2 linked regions of the Bombyx mori genome follow. The protein of the gene in region 1 binds, or shares a complex with, the protein of each later gene. Links are inferred from orthologs where the notes say so. Each region holds a gene or a part of one and is shown on either strand. Other genes may lie near its edges. The genes, in order: transcriptional adapter 2A and protein Dr1.

Region 1 (8,395 bases):
TCGCTTTTGCTTGAACTTCATTTATTAGTCATTGAACAGCAATTATAAGTGATAAGTTTTCTCTTTCAAGTCACTACAATAAACAGTACAATCAATATAAATAATTCTCAATCCGAAAAATAGAATGTTGGTGTTCCAGCATGAATCGTGACTATGTCAAAATATTTCATCCAAATGAAACATTTGACTGGGGCTTATGCAATAATAACAGTCTTTAGTTTAAGACACAAAATCAATTTGAAAACCAAGACTCATTTTAAAGACACATCGCTCTACACAATTGTCATTTTAAAGTTCTTCAAAAACTCTAAACTTACAATTACTGCCTGCCATGTATTTACACATTTGTAGAAAATATTTACAACTTATTGTATTAAATAAACACATTCACAGACACACTCGTTCGTCGTACTAGAACGCACGAAGAACAATGTAATTAACAAATTATACTGATCCATTCACTCATTACAAAACAATTGGCAGCAACATGATACACAATGTTCTAGAAGCCCTAAAATGTCCAGTCTCAGTTTAGGTTTGAGTATATAAAGATTCTGGTTCGCCAAAACTCAAGAAACTCTTCCTCCTTTTGACCAAGCAAACACATACTGAAGGCCTGATCAGCACGGTTTTGACAGATCAATTTGTCAATCCCTCGAGCTGTTGCTATCAGAATTGACATTATATACTTAAATCTGATCCAAAGGAGATCCAAAATATTTTAATTAGGTAAAGTGTCCATTAATATTTCTTTGACTCCTGTGGTTAAGCGTTCAGGAAACTTGATGTCAAATGCTACAAGCAGGTCACCCTTTCTTGTGGGTTCCTTGGGGAACGGTAGTCCATAGCCTGGGAACCTTTTGACTGTGTGAGGTTTTACTATTTCACCATGTAAGTTGACTGTTAACTTTTCTCCAGACATAGTTGGTACTTCAATGGTTGTGCCACAGAGTGCCTGCAACAAGATTAAATAAGTTATTAATTTCCATAAATGACTCACCACTTATAAGATGTATTGCCTAGTTAATTAAATTATATTAGTCAATTATAATAAAATTATTATACAGTACTATAAGTCAACTTATGGTAGGTACTTTGTTTTAATTTTGTTAGTGTGTGTTATTCCCATTAAAAACAGAAATTTACAAAACCTTTTTGAGTTCAGAAATGCACAAGAAACTTAACATACCTGTTTGAGTGAGATTTTAGCTGTGTATCTTATGTCACTGCCTTCTCGCTTGAATAGTGGATGTGCCTTATCTCGGATGATAAACACTATGTCTGCTGGGATTTTATTACGACCTCGATCACCTTCTTTCTGGAAGGTAATCTTAGTTCCAGCTTTCCAGCCAGGCTTCACGTGTATGGTCAACACCTTGTCTTCCTTCTTCGAGGTACCATCTTGCTGTATTACACGTCGCGATATCTTCATCTTCTTGACACAACCACGGGCGATATCTTCTAATGATACGTATAAATCGTGTTCGATGGGGGGGTCCTGCGTCTTCTCCTTCCTACTAGGTGAACCATGGAAATTAAAGCTGTGACTGCGGAAAGCACCACCGGGGCCACCTGGTCGCGCCTGCCCCATGCTTATGTTACTGAAAGGATCCATATCCACATCCATGTCGCGGTCGAAGAACGTTGTAGTTCCACCTCCATTCAGATCGAAGAATTCCTGGAACGGGCTGGCCGAACCAAAGAACTGCGCGAACGTTGCTTTCGGGTCGCCGTGGAACGTGTAGGAAAATGATTGACCGCCACCAGGACCATTCTGCCCGCCCATACCACCCTTTAGGCCTTCTTCGCCGTGCGCATCATAAATTTCTCTTTTCTTCTTGTCCGATAAAACCTCATAAGCTTCTGCCACTTCTTTAAACCTTTCCTCTGCGCCCGCAGCCTTGTTCTTGTCCGGGTGGTACTTTAATGCCAATTTTCTGTAGGCTTTCTTGATGTCATCGTCCGAAGCACCTTTTGTTATTCCCAATATTTTATAGTAGTCTTTGCCCATTTTGATTTGTACTGAAACAAAAAAAAAAGATCAGTCTCGACGTTTGACACCTTTTTTGGAAGCACGATTTCGTCGATCATTTTCGTTTCATAAATTTGATAGACCACATTTTATAACAAAACCACGGTTTTTAAATGAAAAAAATCAACATAGCATTTTCAGAACACTTACTTGTATTAGAGAAACTTTAATCCTTGATAATTTAAGCACAATTTACGAAATTTTAGCAAATAATCACAACGCAAAACTCAACACTTCACTTCAGCAATATCACAATTGAATGAAACGCGGCGCTCTCGTCGAACCAAAATATATACATCAAAACATCTAGAACATTCTAGGACCTTCACCCGTGACGTGAGCGAGATGCAATAAAAAGAAAGCAATATGAACTAGCTAATGTTAAAAAGAGACAAATATAAATTTCTATGTTCATCGGCTAATGGGCACGTCATTTTCTCGAATCTCGACCCGATTATAAATGTCAGTATGTTCTCGTTGTTTCTTTTTTATTTTACCATGTTCTCTGTTACGACTTAATAAATAAAAAATGCAATATTTAATTGTTCATGTTTTCAAAATATTATCTATTTAATGATTATTCTGAAAAGGGGATTATTTATTTTAAAGCGATACTAGTGTTTATTATATCTTTTAGATTGTTTTTTTTATTAGATCTACTGTTAACAAATTCAAAAATTAAGGAAGCTTATCAAAGAAGAACATCATCTATCATAGCGGGTTAATCAAATGATACATTTTGGATTTAGTTACCCAGTTTTCCTAAGTAAACTAAAACACTGTGTTTTATTCGTTGCTGGTAAAGTATGGAGGTTAGAGGTAAGCAGAACCAGCTGTAAGCATCACCCGCTGTTTGCCTTTACCGTCCATACTTTTCGAGAAATGGTTTTCTGTGTATGAAAAAGTGATCGTCGAAAGGCGACCAATTAGGGTAGCGCCATCGTAGGCAGTGGTGTAATTTTAAAGATAGCCCAGAAAGTTTTTCAACTAAGCATACTTCACTCCCTTACAATTTCTACATCATCCATTTGCTACACTAGCCCTGTTTTAATGAGTTTTCTGAATTGCAATTTGCTGCTTACAGCCGGATGCTTCTTCAACTTGTCTCTCATTTTAAGATAGTTCTCCTTACCTATAAGTACACACCTAAGAGTTAAGTATGAAGTCGTAACAGATATTTAGCAGTGATACATAGTAAACGTTGACAAAGACATAAGTACAGATATATGAAAAAGTAGGAATGATCCTTCTTCTCGAAAAAGAGAAAATCGACTGCCCATAAATATATTTTTTCGATATTCGCTTTTTTTTTATTTTCCGTGTAATGTCACCAGCACCGACTTTAAAATACTTTTTTAATATCGATGCTTTGATGTCAAATGGAATGGATCGGATTGAAATGAATTTGTTTATTAACTGATATTGTCATCAATTTGCGTTGTTTCAATAGATTTTTTGGAAGAACCCGAGACGTCACGTTCAGCAACTTTATTTCATTTTCCAATAATAATGGATTTTCACACATGATATGATGATAACCTGTTTGCAAATGCATTTTGATTTGCTAATGTCCTAGATGGATTGGCTATTATAATGATAAAAAGATCGATTTAAACAGAAATCAATCCCTGATCACCATCCCTACTCACCGAGATATGTAGTTATTTTGAATAAAGTTATGTATGTATGACAGGGCAAGAACAAAAAAGGTAAGATCTTTTTGGCGGAACCGCGAGGAGTGAAGTTGTGTGATTTGTTTGTTAGATTTAAATGTGTAATAACGTGGCTTATTAACTGTTTAGTATCTGTGAAAGTGCACAAATGTGGGAAAATGAAACAAAGGCACTGGACGTAACTTCTCGGGATCTTCCAAAAAGTCAATTGAAAAAGTCTTAGTAAATGACCACCATTTTACTGAGATTATATTTTATCCCATATTATCCAACCTCATTTCATTTCATGCCATGTTTCATTAATCAACTTCATTTAATTACACTTCATATTATCATTTTTCATATAAAATGAATTATAAAAGATTAGGCTGTATGGTATGATACCATTGACTTTTCAGTTGAAAAAATAAAACTACTACTATTATGTAGGAACCGTACTTACTTAAATATTGTATTTTCTAAACGTTTGCTGAAATAGTAATCCCTAACATTACATAGTTTAACCGGTTTTACTAAATAGAAAAAAATCACTATCTTCTATTGTAAACCAATAAACAACTGATCTGTGCGTGAAGTTCTATCGAAATGTAGGTGTTTAGTTCTTTTGTTTTTGAATTTTTGAAGTTTGTTCAATAGGTAAGTGATAGTTAGACTATTAGGTTTTGTTTGTAAATAAAATAAAGGTTTTTAAAGTACTACTTTATTTATCTGACAAGTCGAAGAAAGAGCGCGTGCCGGCATCCCTTGTATTCGATGTCGTAGTACTTCTCATAAAAGTCTTGTATAAGTTCTTCAACCTGAAATAATGTCCAGAGATATACTACAAACGAACTGCGATTTGTGTTCAGAAGTCGCACACGAGCCTTTTATCGAATGTTGCGAGTGCGAAAGCAATGTTTGCACTCCTTGTTTTTCATCCGGCAAGGAAACAGAAATGCATAAAAATGACCACAAATACGCGATAAGAAGAAATGATTTTCCATTATTCGGTAATTGCAATTGGTCTGCTAAAGAAGAGTGCAAATTGTTATCAGCACTTTCTACATACGGATTCGGAAATTGGGAAGAAATATCTAAGAATGTGCACACACGTTCTAAACTCGAATGTCAAGAGCATTATAGGAAATATTACATAGAGAATGTGCAGTATAAAGAATTGAGATTACTAAAGGAAACACAACAGTCACTTTTTCCAATGCCAATTACTCCATACTTGTACAATACAGATGTAAGCACTAATCCGCCTAGAAATAACAGTTCAGATCAACATTTAGCTGGTTACAATACATATAGATCTGAATTTGAATTCAGTTATGATCACAATGCTGAAAGCATATTTAATATTGAAGACAGTTACTCTGAAGATGATGATGAGGATGAGGATGAAATGGACATGATGGATTCTTTAAAGGTGTCTTTAGTGAATGCTCTTAATACAAGATTAAGAGAAAGACATAGAAGGTATAAAATTATACAGAATCATGGCTTAGTAATGCCAAATAAGCTTTTCTCATGGATCCAAAAGTTTGACCTCACTATAACACGACAGAAAGCAGAACGATTGCTTTGCTTCATGCAGTTCATGACAGGAATACAGTTTGACGCTTTCATGGAATCCATGAGCTTAGAGAACGAGCTGTTACAGAGAATTGGACATTTATGTGAATACCGTAAGAATGGTATAAAAACTCTTTATACTGCCAAACTTTATAAGCAACTTAAAAAAGAAAATGACATAATCATGAAAGAACAAAAGTATGCTACATGTGTTATGGCCAAGAAATTTGAAAATCAATCACCAGTGAAGACTATGTACACAAAAAACCACCAAGTGCTGCGTTACAAGCGTATGGCAATGCCCTTAGAAATAATTGACTTGCCAGGTTTCCACAGGCTGAGTGAGGCTGAACAAGTACTATGTTCTAATTTGAGGCTTGTACCAACAAACTACTTGGAAATAAAAGAGCATCTTATAGCTCAGAACAGTAAGCTTGGATTCCTACGACTTTTAGATGCAAGGAAAATTGTTAAAATAGATGTAAATAAGACTAGGAAAATTTATGATTATTTGTTATATGAAGGTTTTATAAGTAAACCATTGTGACTATGACAAATTGGTATCATTTAACACCACATATGCTATGCTGAATTGCAGATACACACACTTGTCAACTATTTATCAATCGAAAATTATTATGCAACAAAGTATTGTTAGCCTGTGTGTATTTCTACCACTAATGTGCCTATTTTAGTCTTAAAGTATTCATACTTTCAATATAACTTGAACAGTGTGAGAGCAGTGACATTACAATACTTTGGGATAGGTGAGTTGGGTGTGAGCTCAGAAGCCCAACTGCAGAAATGAAATATTCATAGTTCACGTTGTCTGTTTGTCTGTTCTTTGTGCACAAAATGTTACTTTTGGATTCATTATCAACAAATAATGTGGTAGTGTAAAATGCGATGAAAATAGTTAGATACATAGATACATTGGTAATATGAGGTATGAGGTCAAAATTTTAGTAGCTTTGAAATAGTAGACTAATCTATGCATCAGCATGTTTCTGGCGTGAAGCAGTTTTGTAAAACTCCAGATAAGTTTACATAATAATTACAATACATTGAGTGATATTCATAATGTATCATAATATGCTGATAATACATTGTACCATAATACCAGAGAAATAGGGTTTTCATGATACTCACTTTGAAGCCAAATTTTTGATATAAAAATATAGCTGGATTTGTTGGTGACACATGCAGTGTGATATCTTGGCCCGTGCAAGTCTGTAAGTAAAAAAGGTAATTGTCTACAACACTTAAGCCTGAACCTTATATTAGCAAATAATTTAAGGTAAACATACAATGCAGTTGATACTTTGACCCATAGAGTAAGATTATATATAACCTAACTTTGACCTGAAGTCACCAGTATTCAATGCAGGGTGAACCTTCTTTATTTAAAAAAAATGAACAGTTTTGTGTCCGTTGCCATGCAACCCATATCATGATCCGTTTTACTGATTGAATTAATATTATATTAATACGTTGACCGCCATGTAGGGCACTGATGCCCTACGCGGCGCACTGAGGTAATTATGTCGATCTCTATTACTAAGCGCTGGGATTGCTTAATTTTGCCTTCTTTTGTGTTTAATATAATATGTTTTAGTATTTTAGGTCTCCAGAAATATATTCATTCTCAGTATCTTCGAATTCTTTCCCAGCGACTACGAGATGTTTCAGCGCCTTAGTAAGAAGATAGAAAAGAGAGAAATCGACATAATTACTTGAGTGCGCCACGTAGGGCACCGGTGACCTACATGGCAGTCAACGTATTAAGATCTGGCGATATGTTCTTACTTCGTATGTTCTTCACTGGAGATACAACTTTCTTTTTTAAAGAAAGTTTCTCCACTACGGAGACTGGATTATGTGGTAACCAGATCCATCTTCCTGAAATATCGCAATAAATGTCCGCCTTACTGTTCCTCATGGGCGAGTATACCTGAAGTAGATGGTACAGCATGAATGTAGCTATGCCGGCCCTGCCCCACTCCGGCCTGGTGAGCACGAAGGAGATGTACGCGGTGGAATGTCCCGCGTCCGGCACCAGGAAGGCACAGCCCACGACCAGGCGTCCGTACGTCACTACGCAGCTGAACTCTGGGTACTGCAGGGCCTCAGTTACTGGCGGACATCACAAACATATCTAAGCAAAATTATAATTTCCCTTATTACTTGTGGTAGGAACTCTTGTGAGTCCGCGCGGGTAGTTACCACTACCCTGCTTATAGCTGCCGTTAAGCAGTAATGCGTTTCGGTTGGAAGGGCGGGGGTTCTAACTATATTGAGACCTTAGAACTTATATCTCAAGGTAGGTTGCGGCATTTACGTTGCAGATGTCTATAAAAAGCGTGATCAGACACGGTACCGCGATGTTTTTAGTTTTTGAACCTTGTATGTTTATGTATACGAGTGTTCACAATTGTTAGCCTGATGTAAACCAACTAGCTGTACCCATCCGCTTCGCTGGGCATTTAAAATTAACATCATTATTTCTCACCCCCACAAACATTCTCATCATTGACGCCCCCGCAACTGGTGTAGGGAGTCCAACACTCATATAAATATTAGCCTATCCATTAAGTACATGTATTTTCTACATGGATACCAAGTTTCAAGTCAATCGGATGCATGGTTCAGTAGTTATAACGGAACATCCGTAAAAACCACTGTAGATTTATATATTATCAAATCAAATCAAATCAAAAAAGTTTTATTCAACATAAATGAAAGTGCATACTTGTTGAACGTCAAAACTACCGCCAATTCACGAGAATTAGCCTCCGTCCTGAGAAGAATTGGCAAGAAACTCAGCGGGCATGTCTTTTTTTTTTTGTTTTTTTAAATATTAGATTATTATTTTTGAATATTAGATTTTTTTAAATATTCATTTTTACAAAAAGGAATTATAACATAACAATTTTACAATATTGAAATGCCCGGAGCGAGCAACTCATTCCCACTTTGTGCAATCTTCTAGATTATCATTGACTTTATAGTAAGCTTTATTGCACAGATGTTCTTTAATAGTTTTCTTATTAGTATAGATATCCTCACTGTGAATAGGTTACCAAGCTGTGAGAATACAGATCGTTGTGACATAATAGATCCAGTCGAAATGTTT
Region 2 (7,323 bases), on another chromosome or scaffold:
TAGTAGAATGCTAGATTGTGACGAATAATATTAATAGATACCAAATAAAATACAAATATTGAAATAAAAACGGAAATTTGCGCAACTTTGAATAGGTAATTATTATTGAAAGCAATAAATTAAGCAACCGACCAAATTACAATTCCCGTAAGTTATATGTATAGAATACAGATACTAGGTTATCCAATATATGTACAATAACTTAAGGAACAATCACGATTGGACTGGATAATTTAAGCCTTTTTTATTTAAGCCTAGTTAATAATATGTAAGTATTAATGTTAAGTGTGTAGTGATTTAACAATAATTGCATTACTGAATACGAATACATCAGTTTGTAGAACTATAATGCAAATAGCTACTCCAGGCAGCGGCTTGACTCTGCCCCTGGCATTGCTGAAGTCCATGGGCGACAGTAACCACTCACCATCAGGTGGGCCGTGTGCTCGTCTGCCTACAAGGGCAATTAAAAAAATTACAAGTATTCTCCGAAGTTTAGTGCAATGTATAATTATTATTCTTACTAAGATTTTTTTTACTACTTTTGATTCTGGGTTTCGTTGTCCTTGAGATATGAGTTCAAAGTTAGCTTATTAGATGTCGAGTATCTGTTAAAACGGAACCTATATTTGCTCGCACTAAAAAAAGGCATTGTAGTCGTACCTAATTATGTGTTATTTTCCATCAATACCTAATTATATAAACAAAACTTCTAAAAATATTGAAATAGAAGCATAGATTATGCTGCTGATAATGATGATTGATAGGGCCGGTTTCTCAAGCCAGATAAGATTTATCATTTAGAATATAAATCTTGACTTGATTGAGGTAGTGTATTATTTCGATTGCTGCTTTCAGAACGATTGCCTTACATCCTTTATAGAAAGATGAGAAATATTACAATCAAACGCACCAGGGTTGGTATTAAACTTACCGTGTGATGTCACAGCATTCTCGTAAATACCGTATGTTGAACATAAGATTCATATTATTGTAAACGGACAATTTCATTCAAAATAAAGCTTTAAAAATTACCTACTGGACTTTATAATTCCTTAACTTTCCGTAAAACTAAACGAAAGATTTACCAGGGGGAATCGCTAGATCGAAAAATTTTACAATCTGGATTTTATGATAGATGCTAGTTAAATTTCAAACCGGCACTTGATTGACCTGTATCAACGACGGAACCTTCGTATGAGGAAGTTACGACGAATATAGACAGTTTTTTATTAATGTATTAGATTTTTTTATTCAAGAACAATAGCATCTTTTTATTTTCTAAGTTCTGGTATGCAACAGAGAGGGAATGCCCATGTTCGCCTTGTAGTCTGAGTTTTTTAAAGTATAAATGAAAATTGGTTTTTAAATTTTCAATCATAAAAAGGACCTTATTTATACCTTCCGGACACTAGCATAACTAGAATATAACTATTATTCCAATGCACACAAATCTTGTTTGGCGTATTGATGGCATTATTTACACAAAACGAAAACATTACCCACATGGTATCGGGTTGCCAGCGTGCCGCTCTTTAGGATATGCACTATGCAGATAGGCAGGGCTAGATAGGTCAATTTAGATAACCTTATTTTAAAGCTTGATAAGACCGTCCGGGTGCCTTATTGCTGAATGCTTCGATCAACAATAGTAACTAGATAAAGGGATACGTACAAAATTAAAGCAACAACTGTCCGCGTGAATATATACTTATATAGCTACATTCGTTTACTAACAAACGGAGAAAAAAGTTTTGAAACACTTTTACGTTCAAACTAATAACAACTATGGCACCTAGAAATAAAGTCACAAATCTCCAAAACATTATCTAATACTTACGATCATTCGTCACATAAAACGAGCAAAGCAATAAATTACTCCTGTCACTTACCAATAAAAAGACATATTTTAAACAACTTTTAATGTTAAATCAATCTTAAAGGCAACAAAGTAACTTTTCCCTTAATTGCTCTGAGAACTAACATCGTTTTGCTTTATTTATTTTTGCTTTATTTATTTTTGCTTCTTGAAATGCCGATTTCTATTTACTACAGGAGGTAAGGGAGTCGCGCTTAACACTAAAATAATTTATTAATGAATTAAAGTAAAAGTTTAGTTGTTTACTTTTTATGTTTTGGAAATGTATGTGTGTTAGTATCTATACATTACTTATTATTTTATTAGCGTTACGTTTTTGTGTAATATATATTTTTAAGTTTTCGCGACCAGTGCACATAATAAAACAACGTTTAAACGGTTTCAAGCGTGGTTTTTTTATTACAATGTTTCGTCCCGTTTCAGTAGCCGTGAGCACGGAAGGCAAAGATGTCCAGTGTCAATAAGCGGAGATCTTAGCTGGCTTATAAAAGTAATCTCTTGTTTCTCTGGCGACAATCGAGATCCATTCTGCACACGTGATTGCTAGGAAAGCTAAAATAAAAATGGAAAGCTAAGTATCTAATGAGAGTCCAACAAACAGACACAAAAGCAGCATTAACCAATTTTAACCAACTAATTTTGATGTGCTGCTAACAAATTTTAAAAAATTATTACAACATAAATCTACGCCATGCATTTACTGTTCTGTTCAGCAAAAGTTTGTCCATGTGTTGGCCGAGCCTTGGCCAACATTTGTAGCGGTGGTTAAAAATCGGTAATTTTGTTCAAAATTTAATATTATTTATAAGTTTAAAGCTTACAATATAGTTTATACTTCATGTACTTACCGAAAGTAAGATATTCCGGCCGTTAAATTGCTTTTTCGGGCCTTATTTTTGCAACTTTTGAATACACACTGCGGTATTGTGAGACGGGTTGACATTGGCTGTGTTTGAAGTGAACTAAACAAAATAAGAGCTCACATTTCAAGTGCGCTGTTATTTGACGAGACGGATTTTATGCACCGACCCGAAATCTAGTTACTATTGTTGATCGAAGGCTGAATGTGTTCTTGAAACTTATGTGTAATTACTTTTTTAAATCATAAACAAGTCCAGTCTTAGTCTAGCTAAAAGTGAGGCCATTGTTTCACTACTTTTGTACCAAATTTTGTTCTAAAGGTTGGTAAGAAACTCCGCGTAAACTGTTTTAAAACCTAGTTTATTAATTAGGTACATGATACTGAAAAGGGTATACCTTTTAATCGTGTACGAAAATGTAAAGACAGTTATTTTTTACATTATATGTATATTTTATAATTTTACTAATACTACATTTATTTCTTCATTTATAATTAACAAGTGTTTGCGTGTGTTTGTATCGACCCACTAATTATAACTAATCGTTTGATCAACTAATTTGATTTGATAATGTAGTTGTGCTAATAATAAAGATAAATAGCGAGTTACAGCTCATACAAACTTCCCAGTTTCCTTCAGAATTTGGACTGCCAATATACATATTGTTACGCGCTGGGGTTCGGGATAAATAAAATTTTACCGAATTACATGTTATCACTGTATTCAACACTTAAAACACTTCACAAACACTTTAAAATTCTCAATTCGCTTCTTCCGCTTCGCTTCGAGTAGTTCCGATTACTAACTGCCTGTCATATCTGCAACGCTCTTATACGCCGATACCACATCCCTAAAATTATCAAGAATATTCCACAAAAGTCTAGTATTGTGTGTTTCCACTATCTGACAATAGATGGCGTTGTACTTCTCGAACGTTCTAGGTGCTACTAGATCCTTCCCTATTCGTTCGACTATTCGGCGAAAGATAGCGTTACTCTTACCGGCGTAACAACATTTATGTCAGTATACCCACTAAAATCGATCGCTTTTACCTCTTACATTAATTTTAATAAATTTGGGAACATCTGTTACTATTAACATGTCAATCAACGCCGTATTTTTGCATAGATTGGTGGAAGAGCTCATGGCCCACCTAGTTTTAAACGGTTACCGGAGCCCATAGACATCTACAACGTAAATGCCGCCACTCACCTTGAGATATGAGTTTTAATTCTAAGGTCTCAGTATAGTTATAATGGCTAACCCACCCTTCAAACCGAAACGGATTACTGCTTCACGGCAGAAATAGCCAGGGTTGTGGTACCTATCCGTGCGGACCAACAAGAAGTCCGACCACCAATAATTACGCAGGATTCGAACACCAGTGTATCGCTCAACACAAATGCACCAGGCGTCTTATCCTTTAGGCCACGACGATTTTGACTAAATAAAGGCAAAACATCCAGCTTAGTGAACTTTTAGAAGAGACAGTGGTATACTTATTGTATAACCATGTATTAACTGGCATCATAGTTCATACACTTAATAATTGGAATTTCACTATGCACTCTCTTCAAATACGCCTCATTATATTATGGTTTTTAGGTTACATACTATCAAGTTTTAGATTCATCTTTAGTTTGAGAGCGACATAGGATCTATAGAAGTAATTTAAAATTTAGTGTGAAATTTTGTTCACATTAAGTAAATTTAAATTAAATACATGACACAAACAACATTTATATTATAACACAGCCAGAAACAAAACTGTCATAATATTAAACAATAACCTAATTAAATGTTTCTTATGAGTAATCATCATCTTCATCATCATCAGTTCTTGGAGCAGTTGTAGGTGGTACATATGGTTGTGCATTTCCTTCAACACCAACAAGTCCTTGTTGTTGTAGTAAAAGCCACTGTTGCTGTTCTTGTTTTGCTTGTTCCTCACGGGCCTGTGTTAAATAAAGTTTAATTATAAATTGGGTATTTTTTAAAAGTGAATTTTTTTAGGCGCATTGAGAGTAATATTTAACTCACGATAGTTAGGCAGTTACTTCGTTACAGCTTGAGAGAAAAGATACAATTTAAGAGGAGCGAGAATGAGAAAATAGACAGATCGTCTCGCAAACCACTAGACCTTTGAGAGGGAGATAGTGAGCTAGGTCGTTTCTCACACATTCTGTTTACGAGCGTCGGCCACTAGATGGCAATAAGATAATGACGTATATTTTAATGGAGGATTTATAAGAAAAAATATTTTTTTTTATATATAATTTAAAACATATTGATGCTTGAAAGGCAAACATGACTAAGCGACAATAACTGCTTTGTACATAAATGATAGGCAATAACCATATTCGACTTGCAAAAAATATATATTTCTAGGTCTATTAAAATAATTTCAATCCTACAGCTACTAGCTAGATTCTACTACAGCTAGACTCATTAAAATAAATTTTGTTGTCAGGTATTTCAACTTTAAATTAGTCTACTGTAAAGTTCACGCATTGTCGCTTAGTCACATTTGCCTTTCAAGCGTCGATATATAAAAGGATAAGAGGTCATTTCTCGGAGAGAAATTTGATTTAATGATTAAAAATTAAGAAAACCACATGGACTAAGTTAAACCAGTCATAAAAGTTAAACCAGTATATACACAAACTATTTGCCATGAGATATAATTATATTAAAATAATATCTACAATTGGTTCTCATATTGACCATAAGTAATTATGAAAATGTGGTTTTATCATACTCTGTCTCCTGTTAACATATCTAACAAAATAAGATATCAAATACAGGGGCTTGCTCGATTCCATATTTTTTTATGAACACTTTTTTCCTACTTATTTTCCCAAAGCTTAAGAAATACAACATCTAGGTTATTACAAAGTGCTTACTCGAGTTTGTTCTATATGAACCTTGATTGAAGCCTCAATTGTATTGTTTAACAGCTTGTATTGCATGATTGCTGTTACACCTCAAAGGGTTAGGTTAATAAGTGTTCTCTAAAAGTTCCTGTACATTCCTGAGTAGAAAGGACTAAAGTATGAAGCTTAAGCTGACATTTAAATGGGGTGATTACTTTGAATTAAATTGAATCAAATTGGTTTTTTTTTGTATGGTCTATATAACAATCCCATCCTTATGTTGTTTAAATGACATTAGAGACCAATTTATTATTGACCAGTTTGTATGAAGATCAACAAATCCACATCTAATGTTTACATTAAATGAATTGAAACATAATTGCTCTATAATATAAATAGGGTTTATTACATATGTCGGATTAGTCTGATTGGTTTGGTAAGATTGTTACTTCATTTTTTTCATTTCAAAATCATGACCACAGACACATTTTTATTGAATTTCATAATGGTTAAGAAAATACTGATTTAAATTGTTTAAACCTTTGCAAACAGTTCTTGTTGTTGTCTCAATAATTCTTCTTCTGGAATGCCTAAATTCTCAAGGCGTGTGCTTTGTCGTCTTCTTTTAGCCGCCACTGCTTTACAATCTTTTAAGACAGCTTCTGCTTCTATTGTGTAGTCACTAAATCCTAATCTGTCTAGGGCTGAAAATTAGTTTGATACTGAAGCTTAAAGTTAAATTCGTAAAAAAAATATGTTCGTGTTCCTTATGATAATATTAATTGTCTTTTAACAATAGTGAAATATATACCTGTAAGGACATGTTCTGCATTAATTGTTTTCTTATTGCTTTGATTACATACTTCATTGGCTTCAGAACTAATCAAATGTATGAATTCAGTGCAGCAATTTAGGATTAACTCCCTTGACTCGAACGCTACACGAACAGAAGGCACTAACTCTTTTATCATTTTATTTATACTAGCTCTTGGTAGAGTCAGTTCGTCCTCTTCTGAAGGTGGTGGACAAAGTTCACGCTCTGGACTTCCCATGGTAACGAATTTATGAACGCCCACTTCTATTTTTTTGTGGTAGCCTTTGGGCCACTTTGGGCCATTAAGTGTATAATCTATGCTTTGGGCCACTTTGACTCTTTTTTTAAGAGATTTTATGACCTGGTAACTAAGACCTTTAAGTCATGTCTTATTTTACTTTATATTCTTAATTTTATGAAAAATGATAATATGGAGTGAAATGAAATGAAGATGATTAATTTGAGACATTAATCAACTGGGATGAAATTTAATGAAATTAAATGATATGGGATGAAATATAATCGCAGTAAAATGGTGGTCATTTACTGAGATTTTTTCAGTGGACTTTTTGGAGGAACCTGAGAAGTTACGTCCAGCAGCTTTGTTTCATTTTCCCACATTTGTGCACTTTCACAGATATTAAACAGTTAATAAACCACCATTATTACACATTTAAACCTGAAGAAACACTAAATAGACAAAATAAAACAAATCACACAACTTCACTCCTCGCGTTCCCGCCAAAAAGTCTTCACTTTTACTCTTTTTTTTAAGAGATTTTATGACCTGGTAACTGAGACCTTTAAGTCATGTCTTATTTTACTTTATATTCTTAATTTTATGAAAAATGATAATATGGAGTGAAATGAAATGAAGATGATTAATTTGAAACATTA

What was found.
Region 2: transcriptional adapter 2A (region 1) and protein Dr1 share a complex: the UniProt entries of both Drosophila melanogaster proteins name them as parts of the ada2a-containing (ATAC) complex. The link is inferred for Bombyx mori from reciprocal best matches to the Drosophila melanogaster genes Ada2a and NC2beta.

The regions. Positions count from the first base shown.
Region 1 is NC_085111.1:1,072,890-1,081,284, forward strand, and holds transcriptional adapter 2A, read left to right. Parts: upstream 1-4,502; 5' UTR 4,503-4,510; coding exon 4,511-5,809; 3' UTR 5,810-5,819; downstream 5,820-8,395. Other genes in the region: DnaJ-5 (dnaJ (Hsp40) homolog 5), read right to left, coding at 722-955, 1,190-2,011; cysteine-rich protein 2-binding protein, read right to left, coding at 4,410-4,502, 6,412-6,492, 7,214-7,395. UniProt on the Drosophila melanogaster protein: Component of the histone acetyltransferase (HAT) complex ATAC; predominantly involved in acetylation of histone H4, including at Lys-6 (H4K5ac) and Lys-13 (H4K12ac).
Region 2 is NC_085110.1:7,488,446-7,495,768, reverse strand, and holds the end of protein Dr1, read right to left. Parts: 5' UTR 6,665-7,323; coding exon 6,424-6,664; intron 6,317-6,423; coding exon 6,153-6,316; intron 4,695-6,152; coding exon 4,545-4,694; 3' UTR 4,530-4,544; exon of another isoform or gene 4,464-4,529; intron 3,590-4,463; 3' UTR 3,168-3,589; downstream 1-3,167. UniProt on the Drosophila melanogaster protein: Bifunctional basic transcription factor. Activates transcription of DPE (Downstream Promoter Element) containing promoters while repressing transcription of promoters which contain TATA elements.